Lonchura striata: one gene and its partners. The protein of the gene in region 1 binds, or shares a complex with, the protein of each later gene. Links are inferred from orthologs where the notes say so. Each region holds a gene or a part of one and is shown in the gene's direction. Other genes may lie near its edges. The genes, in order: PHLDB2, ERC1 and PPFIBP1.

Region 1 (7,548 bases):
GTTTTCTCACAGACCATATATCAAAAATGCACTTGTGTACAGGAAAAAAACACTTTACTAGCACTGCAGAGAGCTTAGCAGCAGTAGCAGAGCTGGCTGATGGAGCCCTAAGCCACCCCCACTGACCAGTGCACAGCTGATTCTAGGAAAGGGAAGCAATTAATCAGCTGTGAAGACAGAGAACCATACACAAGCTCATAGAGGAGTGCTCTTGTGATTTGAAGCAATTTCTGTGGTAGCAAAAATTCTTTTGATTACTAAAATACCCTATTTAATGAAGAGAGTGCTCTTCTATTGCATTAAATGGTCCAGTTGCTCAATAAAAATGGTTACCTCTGACAAATCTTGTCATGTTTGTATCTTTAGGCCATTATGGAGACAACACTGCTGCTACTTAAATGAGTCATTATGAGTTGTGCAATTATAGACAGAGGGATTTTTTTTTTTAAGGTAACTACTGATTATTAACAGAAAATTAACTGCCTAAATTAGTCTTCCTTTAATGGTAGTTCTGCAACAGAGTTATATTGTGGGCTGGGCAGTCAGCATAAAGGAAGAGCAAACCTCCCAAATGTCCTGTAAATCCAGGCAAAACCTCACAGAAGTGGAACAAAACTCACCTACCAGACCTGTCCCTTAAGCTCTGAATTCAGCTGCAAAAGCAGCTAGTGCCTGATGGTTCTGAGAACAAGCAAAATAATAATGGCCTTTTTTGCCTTGCAATTACAACCCAGTTAATTGTGTACAACTGTGCAAAGGAAGAGAGTAAGGAAATTCCTTTCTTGACCCTTCCAGCAATTGATTTGTGCCCTGAAGCATGAGATTTGATTACTCATGTAACTTATTTTCCCCAGGCACTTTCTTCTTGATAGCTCTTGTGTGACAGTTCAAGAAAGTTTCAGGATGAGTCACAAGAACACTCCACTGGTTGAACCCCAACTTCTTTTATTACTGATATACATTTCTATTGAGTGCCGCATTAAGAGATTTTTAGATTTTTAACTAGGATGACCAGTGAAACTACAGGGTGTGATTTTTTTTCACCAGAATGGTACTGATGAATGCAGTCATCCTCCACGTTGCCTTTCAATTTTGCAGATTCCCAATGAGCCTTAAAAACCAAGATTCTTTCATGACCTAGAATCCAGCCTTCTAAACTGCCTCAAAGTGTCTTTGAGGAAGTTACAGCAGAGGAATCGCTGCTTACTTTGAAGTTTCACCCAAAGTTCTGGTTTTTAAGCTATAAACAAGTGGTTCAAAATGCTCTGGCTACATCCTGGAAAGCACTGAATCATTATGACTTCAGTTGTTGTGACAGGTTTGTTCAAAAAAGGTGCAATTTAATAATCCATTGGCATGTTGCTGATGCTGCTCCAAGAAACAGAGGCTCAGTCTCAAGCACAACTGCTCAGATCTGTTTCTATTCTCATCCATCACTCTAAAGCAAGTACTTTTTGGACGTTTTTCAGAGGATGTAGAGGTGTTTGGGAAGGAAGAGGCTTCACCTGGATCATTTTCTTGATCTGTTTTTAATAAATAATTGCATCACCCCACCAAAGAATGTAACAAATCATAGACTATGAATCCAAATGAATAGTTAAGGCACAAAACTGAAGACACCGGACCAGTTTTGCCACCAAAGCAAAGTCTGGGTGTAACAGCACCCAGTCATCAATGGGAAGCTTTATCTCAACTGACTTTGTCAGTCTGGGAATCCCTCTCCTCCTGCAGGTAACAAAAGGCTGAACCAACTCCCAGCTGTGGGCTCTGGCTCATTTGACAGAAATGCAGCCTTGTCCACAGCTGATGTGGATAAAATCTGTGAAGGTAAGGGACCAGGTAATGCAGAGGTTGTGACTGTGGGTGCCTGCTCAGAGATTACTTCAGTTCTGAAGCAGCTGAAGTGATCTCACCTATCTTACAGAAGCATGGTAACAAAATGGCATTTTATTACCATTTGCAATGCTCCTGATTAAAGCATGCTTTTTGTAAACATTCCAACATTTGATTTCTACTTATATGAATTGCCATGGAAACCAAATTTTTATCGGGCATGCTTGCATTCTGAAGGGTGGAGAATTTTGAAAGCCTCTGTGATATGTTGATGTTGAAGTACAATTGCCATGAAAACTGTTAATGCTAGCTAGATGGACTGTTGAACCCATTTATGACTTGTAGCTCTCGTGCAAGTTTCCATATACTTTTTACTGGCTTTTCTTTTAATAGTAGCATTCTTGTTGGAGCTTCTTTTGCTCCAACAAGAGTTTTCAGGTCTTTAGTTTATGGAGGTTCTCTTGTTTCCTAATTTTTAAGTATTTCCTGCTCATAAAATGTAAGACAAGGTTTTTGTTTTTTTATATTGCCAGACTCTCACCTGTTAAACATTACAATTTACCAAGTTATTTTAGAACCTCAGCTATGGCTGAGTACTTATTATTATTTTGAGTACTTATTACAATTTTAGAAATAAGTCATATTCTGTATTCTTATTTAGTTTGCTGAAAAGAAACAGATGATACTGATTAAGACAAAGTGTTCACAGCATACAGGTAGCAGGGAAAACATATGATCTGCCTTACCCAGCTTTGCTGCCTCTTCACCTACTAGGTAGGAAATAAGTGAAGGCAAATTTCAGCCAACATATCACAAGTTCTTCAGAGCAACTGTTTGACTGCAAGAGCAAAGTTGCAGCTTTCCATACTCCTAGGCTTCACATTCCCTAGGGAGATTTTTGCAGACTATTACTTACAATTTTTCCCACTTAAAAGGAAAAGGAAGATCATGTGAGATGAAGGGAAGGCTGGCTGCTTTTGGTTCTGGCTGTGGCAAGGCTAAAAGTAATTTTCAGTTCTACTAACTGTGAGCATGCCCTTAACTCTGCATTTATTACACACATATGCCTTTATTTTTTAAGTGCCTTGCTTGCTCGGTGAACAAAACAGAAGAGCAGGTTCAATGCTAGCGGAAAATGAAACACTGGGATGTTTGTGAGAAGAGACCATCTAGGTTCTGGCCTTTTGGAGTTATTAGTCTCAATGCTTGTCTTTTTATAGTAAACCAGAGTAGACAGTAGGACAGTCAAGGGCACCTTTTTTAAAATATCCTCTAGTATTGTGGGTTTCACCATACAGATTTTCAGGTACTAAGGAGTTTATATTGTAGTAAAGTCACGGTTCTAGCCGAGTGAAACATCCCCTGGAATACGTAAGGCAGGAAGTGTATCACAGCAAGCTCCCTTCGCTCGTGGCACAGCGGCAGCCTGGCAGTGCCTTACCTGGCCGAGTGCTGGCTGAGCTCTCACCCATCCCGCAGGAGCCCCGCACGGCAGGTAAGCGCTGCTGTTCCCCGATTCCTTCTTTGGGAAACAAACGGGGGAAGGCAGAGTGACGAGGCCACACAGCACGAAACGAGATCGCTGTGCAGGATACTCTGGCTCACTGCCCCGACTCCTCCAGGCTGCCTCGCATCTCTCAGCGCCGGCGTTTCCTTACCGAGCCCGGCACCGCACAGGCGCTCGGAAAGAGAAGCTTTATGCTTATATGCCCTGGGCTGCCAGCACCCAGTGTTCTCGGGCGTGGGACGACCCCTCCCCGGAGGCTTTGTCGCCTTTTCTTCCCCCGTTGTCCCTGCGGAGCCTCCTGAGCCTGGAGCCCCGCAGGTCCGGGCTGGCCAAACGCGGGACGGGCGGGACGCGCTGCCCCGGCGCACACGCTTTGCCCGGCTGATGCTGCTTTGTAGGCTTGCTCTGGTGTGAAACCCCTCCAGCAAGAGCCGGCCGGTCCCACCAGCCCGTTCCCTGCTTTGGGAACAGCAAAGAGCCGGTGGTGGCAGCTCCATCCTTCGGCGATGCACGGGGACTGGGCGGGGGTGTTTTGGGAGCCCCGTGTGTGTACACACGAGGGTGCCTGTGTATTACACATATGCTTTCATGGGTGTGTTTTTCTCAGGTAAGAGGAAATCTTGAATTTCAGGACACCTCAGGCAGAGGCAACAGCAGGGTGTGACCCCGGGCTGGGTGAGCGGCAGGGGAACGGAGGCGAGCGGCTCCGCTCCGGCATCGGGAGGGCGGAGAGCAGCCCCCTCAGCCCCCGCTTTCCCCGGGGATGAGGAGGAGGAAGATGAGGGCGCAGGCAAAGCGCGCCCCAGGCACGGAAAGCGGGGCCCGCGCCCTGCCAGCGCCGCCCTGTTTGCTCAGCTAATCTCGCGGGCAGGAAATTGCCTGGCGACTCATATTCGTGGATCGCGAACAGCTCCAGGGCGGCCCCTCCGGGGACATCCCCGTGCCCCTTCCCCGTTCTCGCCCGTCCGCCCCCGGCTCCGTCCGTTCCCCCCCATCCCGGCTGCCCTTTGCCCGGCCCGCTCCCGCGACCCCGGCCTGAGGGGAGCGAACCATTCCGCCCGCGGGGGCGCCCCGGCCCCGCCGGGGGGCGGGCGCTGCGGCGGGGGGCGGCTCCCGGGGGCGGCGGCGCTCCCGCAGCCGGGCGGGGACCGGGACCGGGACCGGGACCGGGATGCGCGGGGAGCGGCGGCGGTGAGTGCGGGGAAAGCGCCGTCCCGCGGGGTGGGCGAAGCCCTCCCGGGCCGCTCGGATGGAAAGAGGCGGCGGGGCCCCGCGGGGATGGGAAGAGGGTCGCTCTCGGGCACGCAGAGCCTGGGCTGACGCCGGCTCAGCTGCTTGCGACCGGCCCCGTGTTTTGGGCTACTTTTAAGGGAGTTTGTGCCGCCACCACCCCCACCCACTCCCCCGCCTCCGGTCCCTCCGCACGTCTGACGGGTGGGGGCGGTGGGGTCCCCCCTTGCTGCCCGGCTCGGCAGGGACCCCGCAGCTGATAGAGACGGGGCTCCATCTCTTTCATCGCCAGACGCTTCTCTCCCTCTTTGTCCGGGTGGTTCCCCCCGGTTCTGCCGCGTCCCCGCTGGCGAACAAAGCCTCTGCCCCGGGGGCGCCGGGGATATCCGTCCGAGGTCTGAGGAAGCGAGGGAAGAACGGCGGGGCTTGGCTTTGCTTGCTTTGGTTTCCCATCGTAAATAATCTACCTGGTGGAGGGGAAAGACGTGGGACAAGGCTCTTTGTCCGCGGTCCTTTGTTCGGCTGGTGGCTTGTAAAGGCTCCTGCGGCTGTGCGAGGGCTGCGGTGCCCGGCGGGGATGCGTTCCCGGCGCGGAGCCGGCGATGGATGCCGGCTCGGCATCGCCGGAGTTTAGCAGCAGGAGCACGGCGGATCGGCTTGCGGACGGAGATCGGGGCTTTGGGCTCCGTGTCCCCTGACAGATTCAGAGCTCCTGAGTCCCCCCTGGTGTAGCCCTGTCAGCAGCCGGGTGGGATTCGGCGGCGCCCGGAGCGCCGCGCTCGGTGGTGAGTTCAGCCCGGAGATCAGAGCTTTTCTAGGGAAGAGATGTGCTGCCCACGAGCAAAGCGAGCAACGGGCTGGAAACTACGGCCCCCTCTCCTTCTCCTGCCCCAAAGCTGCCTGAGGAATTTCCCCATGTGCAGAAGTGTAAATAGACTGGAGATGGGCTTTCTGCTCCTGCCACTGAGTGCTTGCTTGATCTCACACACATGGCTTTTGTCACCAGTCCCTTTTTCTTCCAAATGCTCATCTTGTCAACCTGTCATCTTGTCTCTGTGCCTTGACTCTGCACGTGCCCGAATCCTCTGTGTCTGCATCTTCAGGGCATCTGGGTGAACATGTTGCCAGTCAGAACATGGTGAATATTTCATTTTTGTGCCACACCTTCACTCTCTTTTGGAAGAAGAGTGGCACAATAGCAGCCTTTTTTGCAAATTGTCATGTTTAGTGAACTTTCTAGTTTCTGTATTCTCTATATTCTTGTGGGTAATGCCCTCAAAAATGAGTTATTAACATGGGAAAGGATCAGAGATGGGAGGAAGTAAGGCATGATAGAATGGAATTGCAAAGGGTGAGGATGGGCTTGCTTTCCCACAGCAGTGTAGGAAAGAAAGGAGATAAAGTGATCAGGAGATGGGAGAGTGCCTGCCTTTGCTGTCATGGGGAGGGGTAGTCTGAACTAAGAGGATTACAGAAAAAGAGATACCTTTAGGGCTGCCAAGTAGTAACATCCTACCTTTTCTGTATAGTTCATTTTACACAGTTCCTTTTCTACACCAGTAACTTATTCTGCTTCCATTTTGATAAATGCTAAATCAACTCATTAGTGTGTCTCTTTTTACTGAGGAAATGGAATTCTTTGCCATCAGCCAGGGCAGGAAGAGTGGTCATTTTTTTCCCGTATCAGTTACTGTCTATACTTATCAGATACAATTATCAACCATATCCTTGGAAGTTGTCAAAGGCATCAGTTGACTATTGTTGAGAAGGAACAAAGCCCATCATGAAAAATTTAAAGTATTTTGGGTTTAGATAGGAAGTGGAGATTGGGTGAGCTAAAGGTTGCAGATCTATCTTGAGGCTGGAGTTGGATGAGAAGGACTGAAGATGTTTAAATGGGAGCATCTTTTTTGTCTTTTCCACTTGAAGATCCAAAGAAAAGCTGAAATAATCAAAGTAGGTGTGGGCAAGTGCTGGTGATGGTTAAGAGATTAATGCTGTGTTCACTGCACATGTGTAGTGTATTATTTCCATTTTAATTTGTTAAGATGAATGGTTAATTCTGGTGTGTAGCAACTGCCAGCAAAGCAAACAGTGTTTCCCACTGAGTTAAACAAGCAGCTACAAGATGATGTTCTGGGTGTTTTGAGCAGGTGCTCAAACATTGTTCACTTAGGATTTGTCTTAGACTGGTGGAGCACATCCAAGATAACACAGAAATCCAAAGGGATTTTTTTCCCTCGTAGAAAGAAGTTCCTCCAGAGACTACAGTGAACCGTGTAAATATGACCAAGTTTGGGTTTTTTATCATGCAGCTGGAGTCAGTTTTTAAGCAAACCACTATATTTAACTTTCCTGCAGGTGTAGCACCTCTGTTCCTCACCCAAGGGAGCTCAGTCCTGGGTGCTGCTGCTGTAAGCTGGCACGGGCAGAGCCATGGCTTGGCAGCACAGCAGCCACGGCGGGTGCCACTCGAGCTGTCACTGCCACCGTGGTGGGTTTGCCAAGCACGTGTGATGAGAAGCATTTCGTCTGGGGACGTGCTTGCTGCCCTGAGAGTGCTGGGAAATGAAGAAGAGAGGGGACGTTTGGAAATATGGGGCAAGCATCCCGGGAAGGAGATAAATCGAGGAGAAATGGATGAGTGGAACGGGAGAGACAGAAGCTGTCGGAATAAGTGGGCACTGGAGAGAACTGATTAATGGAAGGAAGTGACAGGCACAAAGTGGCAGTGAAAGAAATCAGCACAGGGGAAAGCAGATCGTGGGCAAAGGTTGTCCAAGAGTGGGAAAATGCAATAGCTGGGAGAAAAATGGTAATGACATCCAAAAAAAAAAAAAAATCAAGACTGGATGAAGCTGTTTTGATTAGTTTTTCTATTTGCTTAGATTTTCTGGGCCTTACCTACCTGTTCTCATTGGATTTCTCAGCGTTGCCCTAGGGGCAAGTTTGTTATGTCAAGTAGGGTGGGAACAGTG
Region 2 (7,854 bases), on another chromosome or scaffold:
TTTGGAAAAGAGCAAATAGAAAGCAACATTACCAGGAGAAACACTTGTGATTTAAACAGACTATTTCCTCTGCTCAGCAAAGAGTTCACTGCATGGGGAGGGAGGCAATTAGGAAGACATAAATAGTGTGTGTGGCCAAGGGAACTGAAATTTGAACAATACTGTTGCCTCCACTCACACCCCCAAGCTGCCTCAATCAGATCTTAATCACTCTGAGCCCTTGGGAAGAAACAATGACCAAAATGTCACTTGCCTACAAACACTATGACCAATTTATGCAAAGCAGGTGGGTGGCATTTTGATGCAAAATTGCTTAACACCGGTTTTAGTTAGAGTCCTTCAAGCTTTTATATGGTTTTATACGGTCCACCATTATCAGTCTAAATTTAGTTGTCAGTGGTTGGTAGTAGTTGTGTGAATATAATTTGAGTGAAGGAGACACAAGTGAGCTTAGTTTCAGGCTTTACCTGCAGGAGCAGCTTCAGCTGTGAGCATTATTTAAACCATACCCTCGATCAGAGCAATGTGGGGGGTTTTGCAGTTGGGGAAGTGCAGCATAGCCAAGCCCTGTGTCTCAAAGCAATTGTCTGACCCTTTCAGAGTGACAGAACTTCAATATAAAAAATTATTAGATTAGGAGCTGGGAACAATGAGAAGTTAATTCTGCACATGGAGCTACAAATCTATCTTGGTGCCAGACCCAGGAAAGGCAAGATGTTTCCACTCCTCACTGGAATATTGTTTCCTCACTACCCTGTCTTCTCCCCAGAACATTTTAACTTGCATGAAACATTAATGCTGAAGTAGATAATAAACTATTCACTGGAGTGCCGAAGAGCCTCAGACACCCTCTGGGCTGTGGCAGGAGGCTGCCTGCCTCATTAATCAGTGTTAAAATATGCCCTATTTTTAAACCAGAAAGACTAAAAACTAAAGTTCAAATATGCATTTGAATATGCAGGATGATACAAGCAGTTTATCAGTTTAAAGGTGCCTACAAATTATAATTTGCTATCTCTGTGGCAATGGAGACATTGTTTATTATTTACAGGGAATTCTTCTGAGTTTAGCTGGTAATGTTCTCAGGAAGTTTTCTTGTCACTGAGAAGGAGTCCACATAAGACTAGAGGTACTGCACTGTGCTCCAAAGCATTGCCTTGACACATTAGAACAGGTAAAGAAACTTACCAGCTTTGACTACTACCTATTTTGATCTTGTCTTTCAAAATTTGAACACATTGGGTACATAATCGCAAAAAAACAATCTCTGGTTTGGGAAATTGGATATGAAATACTAATTTTCAACAGCACTGTACAAGTAGGTATATTTGCATGGTGTTGAAACTGAGCACTGCTGAGAAAAATGTGTGTGTACACAAATTCTTGTGCAGGAAATAAACCAATCTTCCAGAACTGATAATCCTGAACTTAATCCTAAACCTAATCTGTTCAAGTATATCTACCACTGTGGGGCTACAGCAGCAACACCACCTACCATGATTGTGTGGACATAACTTCTAATTTTCTAACTTCCTCACGCACCTTTCTATCCTACTATCCATTACCCCCCACAAATTTACTGTGCTCCTAAATCATGTCTTTTCCTATCAGTTCCACTCTGCCTTGACAAATCAGGTTTTTGAACCATGCTCTGTGCTCTGATCCTGTGGTATGAGTGCCAGTGCCCAGCTCTCCTCACCTGTGAGGTGGAAGCAGGAAGTTTTGCATCACTTCAGAATAGCTTGCATACTGTGCATTGTGCAAGCACCGCAGCTTGGGCAATGCTCAGCTAGAACACGGCTGTTCCACGGAATTAATCCCAGCATCCCACAAGCTAAGAAGGGACTTCAGCACAGGCTGTGAACATCCAGAGGGCTTTTCATTCATCCTTGCCCTCTCTGTCTGGTAAGCTTCCTTCTCTGAGAGGCTTTGGTCTGCTGAGTAAAGATCTTCAACATTCTTTCAATAAATGCAATTCCACTGAGCCCAGCAAGAGCAAACAGTTACACAGGCAGCAAGTGTGATTTAGCAAGCACTAAAGATAATGCCACATACTTAACCTAAGGTATTACTCTAAGAAAACATCAAAAAAAACTTTACAAGCTTTATATTTCTGTGGAGTTTTCTTTCCTTTGAGAAGCCCAGACTATTTTATAAGCCGATTTACCTGTTATGCAAAGGCTGCTTTAACACAAACCTGAAGTACCTCTTTCAAGTGTAATGGGGTAGATGTTCCTAACCAAGACAGGCCTGTACTATTCCACAGTTTACAAGGAGTGGAAAAGAGATGATGCGGTTGCTTGTGGATAAGGTGTACACAATAGAACTCCCCAGTTTTCATCTCTGATATCACTAATTAAATAACCTTGATGACTTGAGAAAAGCGAGGTAATGTTCTGTTAATTTTGACCAGAGGAAAAGATACTCACTGAGAGGTTAAACATGGAAATGCAGGGGCAGCTCAGGAGACTGAGTGTCTGCTGCAACTCCAGCTGGCCTCACGTGATGACAGTGCCTTTTTCATGCCCCTCACTCATTCAGGTCATATTCTGTAATAAGAGAAAAGGTGTAAGATAGAATGTTTGAGCTCCCCGCAGTAGTTTAAATATATTTGCTTTCAAGGCATACAAGCACCACTCTGACAATTCCTGCTCAGTTACAGCACGTCAGATGCACACCTCCGTTCAGCCCCACTCATTCCACTGGAATCTGTGTGGCTCCAAAAGAACAACTCGACTCTTTTATTTGTCAGGCACTGCTAGATTTACTCTTGGCATGTCTAGGATCATGATCCTCCCTACACTGAACAGAAAACACTATTTCTGATTCCACTTTTTTAACAGTTTAATGAGCACAGGGTAAAGTTTTCTTCCTTACTTTTATATAATTTTGGAAGTGTAACAGTGCATTTGTGGGGGTGTGTTTCTATTTAAGAATTTTTGGATACATCTAACATCTGAAAAAAAACTTACCTGGGCAATTCCTGCATTTTTGGGACACAGGATGAGAAACTCACCTCCTTACTCATTGTGCTGTTTCCTGCCAGGCAGCCACAAGCTCATGAAAATCAATGTAACTGCTGGAAGCTGTTTAGGGGCCTGCTTTCCCAATAATTACAAATCCAGCCCAAACTGCTTTGTTTAGCATGTGTTTGCTGTGTTGTAGCCTGCGTATTTTTCAAATTTTGCTGGTTATGCCTCCAAACATTTGCTTTAATAGCAGTGGTGTGTGTGCAGTTACCCCTTCGCTACGTAATTTTCTTTGATGTTTCACTGCCCATTGCAATTTTTGCCTTACAGAGGTCCAAAAAAGTTTCCTTAGTTAAAAATGCACCAACAGCATCCTAGGAGACAGGTCATTCCAAACAATTGTAAATTTGAAATACATTTGCTTTCCAAGAATATAAATACTATTTAATTTCTCACATTATTTAATTCATTTGCATTTACTCACAACCTAATAAAAATATTTCATTAAAGGGATTGACTGGTACTCCTGTACAAATAATATTTTTGATATTATTAAAAAAAAATCCTTTTAACAATAAACAATAACCAAGGGGTAGAACTGAAAGAAAAGAGAACAACTCTGTCATACTAATTTTTTTCCAGGTATGAAACAGTAACACCTCACAGGCACAGCTGACACTTCTGGCAGCAAGACCGTATTAAGATGACACACTAATTAAACTGGGATGAAAAACCTAAAGCTCTCAGGCTCTGTTTTGCTCCACGTTGACACTTGCTTATTGTTAAATGGAAATTCATTTACACTTGAAATTGGCAGGATACCCGAGGCGTGGGCAAGCCTGTATCTATTTCCATCCTTCTGCCTTCTTAGCCAGCAAGATAAGTAAAAATTATTTCCTTTTCGGGGGGATACCTTAGGCTTGACAGAAGGCCTTAGATACTGTAGCATGCACTTACGTGCACAATATAAGCCTACAGAAATTAATGTAAAATAGACTCTCTGCTTCCACAGTAGAAAGGGAAGTTCAGGTTATTGAGACCTCAGTGGATATCAGCCTGCCAGAGGTCCGAATTAAAATATAAGCGGTAATTAAATGCAATATATACAATGTCAAAATATAATAATAAATCAGATATAAAACATATGTAATATATAATATGACGAAATACTATAATTACAATATAAGCTGTATTCATTGCAAAGAGATACGAATTTAAACACGTCAATAAGGATCGTTCCTTGCGCAGTCTGACAGACCTAGCCCACTTGACATCATCTCTCAATTCAGCGTCCCCTGGGAATAAGGGCTAAGGAATTCCGTGCTGCTGTTGGTCCTTCCTTACGCCCTGAAATCGCAGCAAATCCAACTTGGAAGGATTCTTGATGGGGTCCGTGCTGCTGTTGGTCCTTCCTTACGCCCTGAAATCGCAGCAAATCCAACTTGGAAGGATTCTTGATGGGGTCCGTGCCTGTCGGCCCGAGCTCCCTCAGGAACGCCGGCCTGACGCAGGTCGCTGGCCCGCCGGCCGAGGCCACTCAGCAGCCGCCCGCAGGGGAGACCGCGGCTCGGGGCCGGGTTCCCAGGCTCCGTGGGGCCGGGTTCCCAGGCTCCGTGGGGCCGGGTTCCCAGGCTCCGTGGGGCCGGGTTCCCAGGCTCTGTGGGGCCTTGCCCGCCGAGTGCCGGGGCCGGGCCGCGGCCTGTTCGCAGTTCCCGCGCGGAGCGGCCGCTACGGCGCCGGAGAGGAGCCAAACTTCCCCGGGGACGCGCGCGGGCGGTGACGCGCGCGGGCGGGGGCGGGGGCGGGGCGGGGCGGGCCGAGGGAAGCCCCGCGCGGCGAGCTCGCGCGCCGGGGGGCGGGGCCTGCGCGTGTCTCGCGCCGGGGGCGCGGGAGGGAGCGGCGGAGGAGAAGCGGCCGGGAGCGGAGCCGAGCCGAGCCGGGCCGAGCGGAGCCAAGCCGAGCGGAGCGGAGCGGAGCGCGGCCAGCGCCGCCCCTGCCGTGCCGTGCCCTCGCCGCGGGCTGACAGGCAGGTGAGGGGGGGTCGGGTTGGGTTGGCGCGCCTCGCCGTCCGCTGGGGGGAGCGCGGGGCGGGGCGGGGCCTGCAGGCGCCGGTAGCCGCGGGAGCAGCGCCGCGCTGGGCAGGGCTGCGGCCGGCCGGGGTCCGGCGGCGGCGGGGGTTGTGGCCGCGGAGCTGCGGCGCAGGTGGGTGCGGGCCCGCGGGCGGCTCGGCCCCGGGGTGCGCGGGCTGCGGCCGGGCGGAGGGAGGGGGCGGCCGGGGGGTCGCGGCCTGTCCCCGCCGGGCCCCGCACGCTGTCAGCGCCCGGGACGGGGTGGCCCCGGCCCGGCCCCGGGAGCGCGGCGGGCCGGCTGCATCGCCCCGCGGGCCCGCGTCCTGCCGGGCGGGGTTCGGTCGTGCTTCTCGCGGGCGGTCGTTCCTGCTCTGCCCATTCGCCTTCCCGGCCGTGCTTTTCCGCCCCTCCTCAGTCAGCCTGTCCTTGGGAAGCGCACGCTTTTGTTATCTCAGTCACCTCATCCGAGGTAATGCTGAGCGCTGTCGTCCTGCCCAGACCTTGCGGCGGTGCTGGGTTTTTTATGTTTTCTCTGTGAGCGCTGCCTGGTCAGTTTCGCGTATTTTATTGTATCTACTATGAGCCGCTGTCAGCTGACACGGTGCTTTGTTTCGGAGTCTGCTGCCATCCTGAAGCCTGTGTCAGGAGTTGCTGCCCTTCCACATCCGTCTGGTTTGTAGTGCGAGCTCTGGAGGTTACTTACGAAGCACACAATTTATTTAACCTGGAATGTTACGTGCGCTCTGGAAGTTTCATGTTATGGTTTGTGCTGATACAGTGTGAAACGGTTTAAAGGGAAGCCCCGGTGGAAATGGGAGAGACTGGGAGATGCAAAGATGTAAAGAAACACCTATGGAGGTGCTGGTGGTGGTGAGAAGCAATACACAAGCAGAGAGAATGGAAAGCAAATGGATAAAACCAGAATTGTTCTGAAGAACAAGTGTTTTACATTTTGTCCCAGCACATTCTGGGGGCCATGCTCAAATATGCAGGGTGGTTGTAGCTGGATTGCGTTTTACCTCAGATCCAACAAGTTGTAACCGCAGAAAGTTGTCTGGTTTGTTTGTGGGGTTGTGATTCTCAAACAATGGCCAACTGGGCAAGGATGTCTGCAGCAATAACCTGCACCAGCTGCCTGCCCTCCTTTGCTCCCTGAGATTATTGCGTCTGTAGCCGTAGGTGGCTGCACACACATCTCCTCCTGAGCTACAGCCTGACACGGTACCGGAGTTTGTGTTGGAAACTGCAGCAGCTCGGATGTGTGCCCCAATTCGGGGTCAGTTATGAGTCAGCACCCTTAGAGCCATTCCAAATAGAATAAGAAGAGAGAAATCACCACCTTGCCCGTCCTGCTGTGACTAGAGTTGGTAGTAAAATAGGGGATTTTTTCAGTAATGAAAGCAGTGATTATTTAGTTAACAGCTGTATTGAATGTAGTTCAGTTCTGGAAGCACAGTTCAGAACTTTATCACAGAACAGCAGTTCCCAGAGCAGTCAAGTCTACACCTACTGTATCATCCAGAAATTTGGAATTGTCTGAATCCATCAGGCTGCAGCTAGAAAAAGGTTGGGATCTGCTGAATTAAATGTGAGTTTATCAAATCTTTGATATAATTTGAACTTCTGTCACTTCTGGGAAACCAATTCAACTGTATTTAAATCACTGCTGGGATGTTAGCAGAAGCCTGAACTAAAGAAAGCATGCTCTCTAGACTGTATTAAAGCATCACGTTGTTCATAATTTTTAGCATTCTATTTGATCCTGTCATGAGCTTTTTTGAGATTCCATTCACGTAACTTTTCATCTGTAATATGTGGCTAATAGCCTGATTAGCAAAAAAGGCAGGTTTGGTATTTATGTGGCCTATACCCTTTTACTAAATTGCAAATATTGCTGATGAGAGAAACCCCGGCTGTTTCTTTGAGGGGTCTTTAGCATTTAGTGGGTTTCTTACTTGTTTTCTTTCCTTTTTTTTATCTTTTTTTTTTTTTTTTTTTTTTTTCTTTCTTTGAATCTACCATTTTGTCAGTTCCTGGTAGCAGTTGCCTGCTGCTGTATGAATAGAAATAGTTCACCATGCTATTGTGACCAGTGCTTGAGTTCCTTGCCCCTATTTCTTACTGTGTGAAGCAGGATACTCTCCCATTGTTATCTCTCATCCCCTCACCCCTCCCTCTTTTCAAGCCTGTTCCCCTGAAAACCTCTCTAGGGTGAGAATTTTGTTACAGCTCTTACCTGGCTAAACCACTGGAGAATTGTGTTGTATTTGAAGGGTCTGGCTTGTTTTAGCTGAGTATGGTTTGGTCAGAAATGTAAGTGTGAAGGGATGCATGTGGCTTTTTAAATAATAGAACTTTACTAGAACTAAACCCAGAGTATGGGTTCTTGACCCTTGCTGGCCACCCTGCTGCAACAGGGCAGCCAGTGAGGTGAGGAGGGTTCTGTCCATTGCTGCCTGTTTAAGCCAAGAGTTTAATTCTGGCATGCAGTGGTAGAGCAGGAGATCCTAGAAAATCCAGTGCTGATTTAGAAATAGTGGTGTTTTGTAGCACGTGGGCTATGTCAATATGCCAGCATTGTTGTCAGGGTGAGATTATGATGGAATTTCTGTAGCTGGAGCATGCTTTGCCTTGCAGTGTGATGTTGCCCATGGTGACTTTAGGCTGTCTGTCTGCATGGGTTCACTAGAGCTTCTAGGCACTTCTGGGCTTCTGAAAATCTTTAGTGCTTTTAACATTTTATTTCTGCTATTAGGAAGTGGGTTGTTGGTTGCATGCTACCTGTAGGGAAGAGAACAATAGCCATGGGTAAAAAC
Region 3 (7,200 bases), on another chromosome or scaffold:
GAGAGGTGCTTATCTGGGACATTCCAGTGTGGGGGCTACTAGGAAAAGTTATTGCTGGCACCTCTATGCCAGTTCCTGACTCCTCTGCTGAACATTTTTTCCTGTGTTTGAAGTTAAATACTTTGAGTACTCAAAGGGCTTCTCTTCAGCTCCATCAAGTACTGAGTATACCAGAAATCCTCTCCTGAGTGTAAGCAACGATTATCTGCTGATACTGAAATTGAGAGAATGCTGTAACAAGTACATGTGAACCTCATGAGGATTTCAGCCCAGTTAAGGTGCACTTATACCTAAATTAGTGAGATTTCCAGGGAGAAGAAAAAAAATGTTTGGTAGGCCTGCAGAAATTTAAGAATGTAGAACTTTCTTGAAGTGTAACCTTTCCTGTCCTGCTTTTGATGACAGCAATGATTCACAGTAATGGGAGGACAATGGTCTGGAACACCCAATCTTTTCAAGCAGTTATGCTATTGCCATGGTATGCATTCCTCCAGCTGAGCCTGATGTGATTCGTGCTCATGTCAGGAGGTTTTCTCTTGCTTGCATTTTACATAACATATGCAGCATCTTCTGATTTGTAACACTGCTCTTTGTGATTTCCAGATCCACACTGACACATCTCTGAGGTTCATGCTGGAAAGGTTTCTGCAGCTAAATACAATCCTCACAGGTATGTGAAATTTTATGGAAAGCTTCCTTGTCCACTGGAAATGGAACTGGGTTTGCTTTTTCTTGATTTTCAGGGGATAATTAGGGATAATTACACAACATTCCAGATCAATACACAAGACTGATCACCTGAAACTGGGCACCTGAAATGCTCCCAAGCACTGGGGCGGGTTGGTCACTTCTTAACCGACCTTCTGCTTTTTGGGGGGTTGAAACCAGAAACTTCAGGACACAGAAACTTTAGACCAGAAACTTTGCAGCAGAGCCAAGACAGGGCAGGATCTCTTCCATCAGTTCAGCAGCAGGTTCAGTGTGCAGGGCTTTTCCTTGTGTTTTCAAACACTGTGGGAAGAGCCAGTAATGGGACAGCTGAGGTCAGAAGTTTGACTGTTTAGGGGGTACAGTTTGGGAGCATTTTGTACTTCAGGTGCCCTGGATTAGGAATCCTTTGGGCACTGAATCTCTCCTGTCCTTTTTAGGAAGGGATTGGAGGGGAATTGAAACATGAGGATTTGACAGCTAGAAGGTATGGATTTGACAGCTAGAAATTGTTTGTGCAGCGCTTTGTCCCAGGACTGAACATGGTGTCACACTAAAGTTCATGGCCAAAACAGTTTTGCTCTGTTGAGTATTTAACAATCAGGATACTTCAGGTGGCTGTCAAAGCTGTCTTGGCTTTCAGCTCAGCTACAATAGTTGGTCAGAAGAGCAAACATTTCCAAGGTAATGGCTTCTAACATTAAAACTCTGCTGCTGCTGCTGAGAGAGTGAATTTCAGCTTCCTCCTGTGAAAGAAGCTGCCAGGACAAAAGCACCATTTTCTCTGCTTATACCTCTATCTGCACAAGGTGCTTTTGCTGGCACAGTTCTGCCTTCAGAGGATCTTATCACAGCCCTGACTGACACAACTGTGCCAGGAGAGTCAGTGATGGAGCCCTGACCTAAAAACACCCTGGCTCAGCTGCAGGGTTAACACCCAGCTGGGAATAAAAAGAGTGACTCGCTGAGTCCACTTTCTCAGCTGTCCTGAAAGCCATGCACAGCCTGGGTGGGAAACCATTGTTCTTTGGGAAGGAGATCCCTCAGCTCTTTCAGCTGTTGTATTCTGGGGAATGAGTTTGGTCTAAAGGAAAACCTTTGGGGCCCAATGAAGTGCTGCATTTATTTACAAAAAAAAATTTGTTAAAAATTGGCTGTGATGGACATGGCTTGTTATTGTGCTTCAGTACCTTCCTCGTGAGCTAGCACTGATAGAATTATAGAATTATAGCATGAGTTAGGTTGGAAGGGACCTCAAGGATTATCCAGTTCCCAAACCCTGCCATGGGCAGGGACACCTTCCACTATCCCAGGTTGTTCCAAGCCCCATCCAGCCTGGTCTTGGATGCTTTCAGGGATGGGGCAGCCACAGCTGCTATGAGAAACCTGTGCCAGGGCCTCAGCACCCTGAATAGGGAAGATTTTTTTCTTAAAATCACCTGCTTTGTGACAGGGATCTTGGAGCTTGTGTGCTCACCCCAGTGACCCAGCTGAAAATTAACTACACTAGGACACTACTCCTGGCTGTACCATGCCGTGTGTGTGGGAGATGGGATGTACTGCCCAAAGAAAATCCTGTTAGAAAGTGCACACTGCTCCTTCAAAATGCCTCTGACAGCTCTTGAAATACTGGGCTTAATGCCATTTATTGATTTGTAACCACGGAGACGGTGATTGTTCTCAGTGCAAAGTGAGGGAAAAGCTCTTTTCCTTCACCTCCTCATGGAGTGAACAATGCTGGAAAATGCTCTTACTCCTTGTAACTTCCCTGAGCCTTCACAGGAGGGACCAACAACTTGTTCGCCTTCTTAGAGGCTCCTGCATTTCCACAAAGGTGAAGAAAAGCAACCAACCATTCCTTGCAAACCAGCCTGGAGCAAAAAGGGCTAAGTTACTTGGGGAGATGAGAGATCAGCACACCAGAAAGCCTTATCAGAGATTTGTCTTAACTTGCAAAGGTATTTTCTTGGACGAAAGAATCCAAACAGTTGTTCGAAATGTTCTGTCTGCTAAGATTTGTTTTCAGAGATCTCCCTCGTGCCATCCTGACAAATGAAGGTTTGCATTAGGTTTTTTAAAAGATCTTTACTTTCTTAATTGAAAATTCAAAAAACACAATCAACAGAATATTCAATTAAAAAAAAAAAAAACAAAAAACAAAGGCTGAAGAACAGTAGATCCATATTTGTTCTGAGTGCTTGTTATTGGGCAAGTCCAAGCCCAGCCATTTCAGGAAGGATGGAGTGCTGGAGTGGGATCCCTGTGATTCAGCCTGGTGTGACCTGGAGTGTGATCAGCACTCACCCATCAGCTGCCAGCAAACTGGTAACATTTGCTGGAGAACTGATAAAAATTTGAGGAAAATGAGCAAAAAGACCAACTGCAGAGCATCAGAACCATAGGTAGGCACCAAAGTTTTGAAACAGAGGTACTAGAAATAGAAGACACTAAAAAAACAGGTATTTTTAAATTGCCTTTCTTTTCTCATAGTCTAAAATTCAGTCCTGCTGTTTAACCTGAGACACACTGGAGCTTGTGTGGCCAAAAAAAAAGTGGTTTGGATTGACTTGTCCTTTGCAAACTGTGCTTAAAAAGCAAATTATACCTTCCCACTTTTGCTGGGAATTCAAAACGTTTGCTTTCAACACATCACCAAAACTTTTCCATTTTGACTGGAAACTTCCACATTTTTGCATGTTATGGTCAGGAACAGAACACAAGCAAATTGTCTTTTCCACGAACAAAACATGACAAGTTTTCTCTCACCCAGCGCTTAGAGAAGGGGTGGGAGGAAGAGCTTTGAGGCAACTCCAAACAAAACTGAGAGTTGGTTGGCTGAACCCCTGGGTCTGTTCTTTGTGTGGCTCCACTCCTGAGAGAGCAGCATCTCAGGCCTTTCTGCCATGGAGCCGGTAAAGCCAAGGCTGGTTTTCGGTGTGGCTGCGAGGCTGTTGATGCAGTGCACGGAGTCACTTGCACTGTATAAATGAGAGCAACGCTCCTGCGGAAGTAGCACGGATGGCTGCACTAAAACCCGCACCATGTTTATCCCCAGCCCTGCGGCCAAGCGCTGGCATGGCACTGCAGATTTGCCCGGGGTGTCACTCGGTGCCGCCTCCTTCCCCCGCCGAGGAGCGGCTCGGGGGAACTCGGGCAGCAGACCGCGGACATCGGTCGGGGTCCCGGGCAGAGCACCCGGAGGTGGCGGAGTCACAGGGGCGTTGTAAGCTTGGACGTGTCGCTCGGAACCGGGTGAGGTTCGCGCTGTGCTGCGCAGTCCCGGGCTGCGCTCGCTGCTCTCTGACGGCCCGTGAGGGGCACGGGGAGCGCGGCCGCTCGCACCGCCCCACGCCGGCTCCCTCATGGCCGGCCCGGGAGCGGCGGCGGGCGGCGCCTCGGCCGGGCGGGGCAGAGCGGCGGCTCGGGGCCGTCCCGGGGCGGAGCGGGGCGGGCACCGAGCGGAGCGGCGCGGGCGGGACGGCGGCGGGGGCTGCCCGGAGCCGGCGGAGGCGCGGCCGCCCCGGAGGCTCCGCGCGGTTCGGCCGCAGGTAAGGGAAGTTCGCGGGAGCCGCTCCGAGACCGCTCGGAGCCGGCTGCGGCACCTCGGTGTCCCGGCGGGATGAGCCCCGCCGTGCCCTGCCCCGGCGGCTCCTCCTCTGCCGCCGCCATGGCCCGGGGCCCCGGCAGCGGGGCCGGAGCCGGCCCGGGGACGGGAGCGCCGCGTGTGCCCGGAGCGGGGCAGCGGGGAGGCTGCGCCGCCACATCCCCCAGCCTCTGTCCCCTGCCTGTCCCTGTGCCCGCCACATCCCCCAGCCTCTGTCCCCTGCCTGTCCCTGTGCCCGTGCCCGCCACATCCCCCAGCCTCTGTCCCCTGCATGTCCCTGTGCCCGCCACATCCCCCAGCCTCTGTCCCCTGCATGTCCCTGTCCCTGTGCCCGCCACATCCCCCAGCCTCTGTCCCCTGCCTGTCCCTGTGCCCGTGCCACCTCCCGGCGCTTCCAGCACTCCCGACCTTCTGTGCCTTGTTTCTGTGCTGGACCTGATGTAACTTTTCGCGAAGTTTTGGGGAGAGGTTGACGTTCTCCTGTTTAATCTTTTCGGGCTCTGGTAGGAAGCTTCAGGCACTGGTGCTGTGAAACTGCAGTTATGAGTTTTATCTAGAGCTAACAAATGTGGTTTGATTTAAGGCCTGGGGTTCTTACATCCTGTCATTATTTTCCCGAGGTCTGTTTCTGTTGGAGCCGTGACTCCCAACAGCTGCAGTCGCTGTTCTTGCTCAGGCCGGGGCTGGGTGCAGCTGGAGCTGTGAAAAGGCGCTTTGCACCTCCGAGCTGTTTCTGGGGGAAGGGGCGCTTTGGTGTGCGAGGCTGGGCTGGGCTGTAACACGTGTGTGCTCCCTCGTGTGAGTGAGGAGCACCAGGAAGAGTTTCAGGCCGGGCTCGGCTGTGCCTGAGCCTTCAGAGGCTCTGCAGCTCTCCGCCTTCTGGCCCGGGCACAGCCGCTGCCCGCAGCCCGTGTGTAGCTCTGTGCGACTGCACTGGCAGCACATTGAGCAATGCAAGTGCCGCTGCATTCCAAAAGTAAACAGCAGAAACGGGGCACGGAGTGGGAATATTCTCCATGCTTACACCGTGGAGCTTTGGGGAGGAAGATGTCCCAGTGTCAGCTTGGGATTTATTGCCTCTATTAAAGGGAGCAGCTGTGTCTTGAGGATTTACTTTTGTGAAGGATGTAAGTAGAGGTTTCAGTAAAACTGGTGTCTCAGTGAGGCAGCATGGCAGGTTGGTTTGAGAAGCATTCTGGAAAGCAGAAATCTGCTTGAACTCTCAGTTCCAAGTGCAGCAAAGATTTTGGCCTCTTAATTTCTTCACATCACTAAGAAATGAGGAGCCAGAACACTCCCTTGAGCTTAGTACCCATCCCAGTGGAGTTTAGGATTTAGCACAGCTTCTTGAGAAGCTGTATCAGAGGTCAGCTGCTGGCAGTGACAATGACTGTCAGTGGAGTGCTGTGGTGCTCACACATGAGGATTGATGTTCCCATGCCAGGAGGGTGAAGTTGTTGGTGTTTCTCTCCTCCCTGAAGGGAGCTCCACCTGTTCACCTGGCTGTGAGGGGGGCTCTGAGGAGCAGGTTCCCTCTTTGGCAGCCCATCTCCTGCCTTGAGCCCTGGTGCATCTGGTGCAAGAGTTGTGCTGAGGTGCTGCATCTGGTGCAAGAGTTGTGCTGAGGAATGCTGAAGTTGGTTTGTCCTGTGCACTTTGCAGCAGGTCCAGGCTCTGCTTGCCCCTGACACACGGGGTGGAGCACCTTGAAACCAGGGCTGTCCCATGGGGCAGGGATCCGTGGTGAAAATCATCTTTTTCCTCTTAGCTGCGAGTCGCGTTTCCTTTCTGGGTTGTGCTGCCAGGGCAGTGTGACACACGCTGCAGGAAGGAGAGGGTGCCGCTGGAAATGGCAGTGGAGGTGCTTGGGGAGGCTTTGCCTGTGACCCCTGGCTGCAGGAGGTAATTGTTGGCATTCCTGGCATGACGGCCATTCCCTGGGCTGAGGCTCCCAGGTGGTGCTGCCGGCCTGGCTGGTCCCGTTGGTCCCTGGAGATGAGCAGGACAAAGTCTGGTCACTGCTCAGTGCCCAGCTCAGGGTGGCCTGAGGACAGGCAGAGCTGTGTGTGATGAGCTGCTCGGTGCAGAGTCCTTTAGGAGGTTTAGTCTCTTTAATCCACCCAGGTGGGGCTCCTGCGATGTTTCTTTCCCCACCTGGAGGAACACTTTCAGTTGAAGTAGAAATCCTTCCCCTGCAGAGCTTTGAAACCAGCGAAGGTTTAGTCACTTTCTTGTGCTGCGATTGCATCAAACCAGGCCTTTGGCTTGCTGAGCACAGGGGAGCTGTGTGAACTCCTTTGAGGAACTGACTGATTTTCTTTGTTGTGCATTGTGTGTGTTTTTCTGGGAAGGTGGAGGCAGCACAGAGAGGAGACCAGATCCCCAATCTGGGACAGATGTTCCAAAAACATATCCCTGACTCCCTAGGTGGTTCAAAAGGAGTGCAAAAACCCCAGAATGCCTCCTCTGACTGGGGAGTCTGCTGTTTTGCAGTAAAAAGGAGGAGCCAAATATTAGGCAGGATTTAGGTGGGTGATAAAGCATCCTGTGGTGTGAGGGGTGGTCAGTAAAGCTCCTGTCCCACTGCTGAATTTGCATGCCCTTCCTCAAGGAGGTGCTGGTAACTTTTGCCTCAGCTGGTAAATGGTGATGTGCAAGTGAGGTTGGTGTATCTGAGACAGCTTCTTCTCGTACTTACCCGGGTGACTGTCAGGGCTTCAAAGCAGAACTGAGGTTATGTGGCTGCTTTAAAGTGTGCAATTATGATCTGGCCCATTTCTGCCTGGCCAAACCACATCTCTAAATTTACAGAAGTAAGGAACAGGTTTATTGGAAGGCTCAGGCAAGTTTTGTTTTGTTTACTCCTCTTGAGTGGAATGTGTACATGC

What was found.
Region 2: PHLDB2 (region 1) and ERC1 share a complex: the UniProt entries of both Homo sapiens proteins name them as parts of the cortical microtubule stabilization complex. The link is inferred for Lonchura striata from reciprocal best matches to the Homo sapiens genes PHLDB2 and ERC1.
Region 3: PHLDB2 (region 1) and PPFIBP1 share a complex: the UniProt entries of both Homo sapiens proteins name them as parts of the cortical microtubule stabilization complex. The link is inferred for Lonchura striata from reciprocal best matches to the Homo sapiens genes PHLDB2 and PPFIBP1.

What each region holds. Positions count from the first base shown.
Region 1 is NC_134604.1:3,798,042-3,805,589, forward strand, and holds the start of PHLDB2 (pleckstrin homology-like domain family B member 2), read left to right. Parts: upstream 1-4,480; 5' UTR 4,481-4,531; intron 4,532-5,214; exon of another isoform or gene 5,215-5,355; intron 5,356-7,548. UniProt on the Homo sapiens protein: Seems to be involved in the assembly of the postsynaptic apparatus. May play a role in acetyl-choline receptor (AChR) aggregation in the postsynaptic membrane.
Region 2 is NC_134607.1:12,158,588-12,166,441, forward strand, and holds the start of ERC1 (ELKS/Rab6-interacting/CAST family member 1), read left to right. Parts: upstream 1-4,846; 5' UTR 4,847-4,999; intron 5,000-7,854. UniProt on the Homo sapiens protein: Regulatory subunit of the IKK complex. Probably recruits IkappaBalpha/NFKBIA to the complex. May be involved in the organization of the cytomatrix at the nerve terminals active zone (CAZ) which regulates neurotransmitter release.
Region 3 is NC_134607.1:1,797,325-1,804,524, reverse strand, and holds the start of PPFIBP1 (liprin-beta-1), read left to right. Parts: upstream 1-4,170; 5' UTR 4,171-4,256; intron 4,257-7,200. UniProt on the Homo sapiens protein: May regulate the disassembly of focal adhesions. Did not bind receptor-like tyrosine phosphatases type 2A.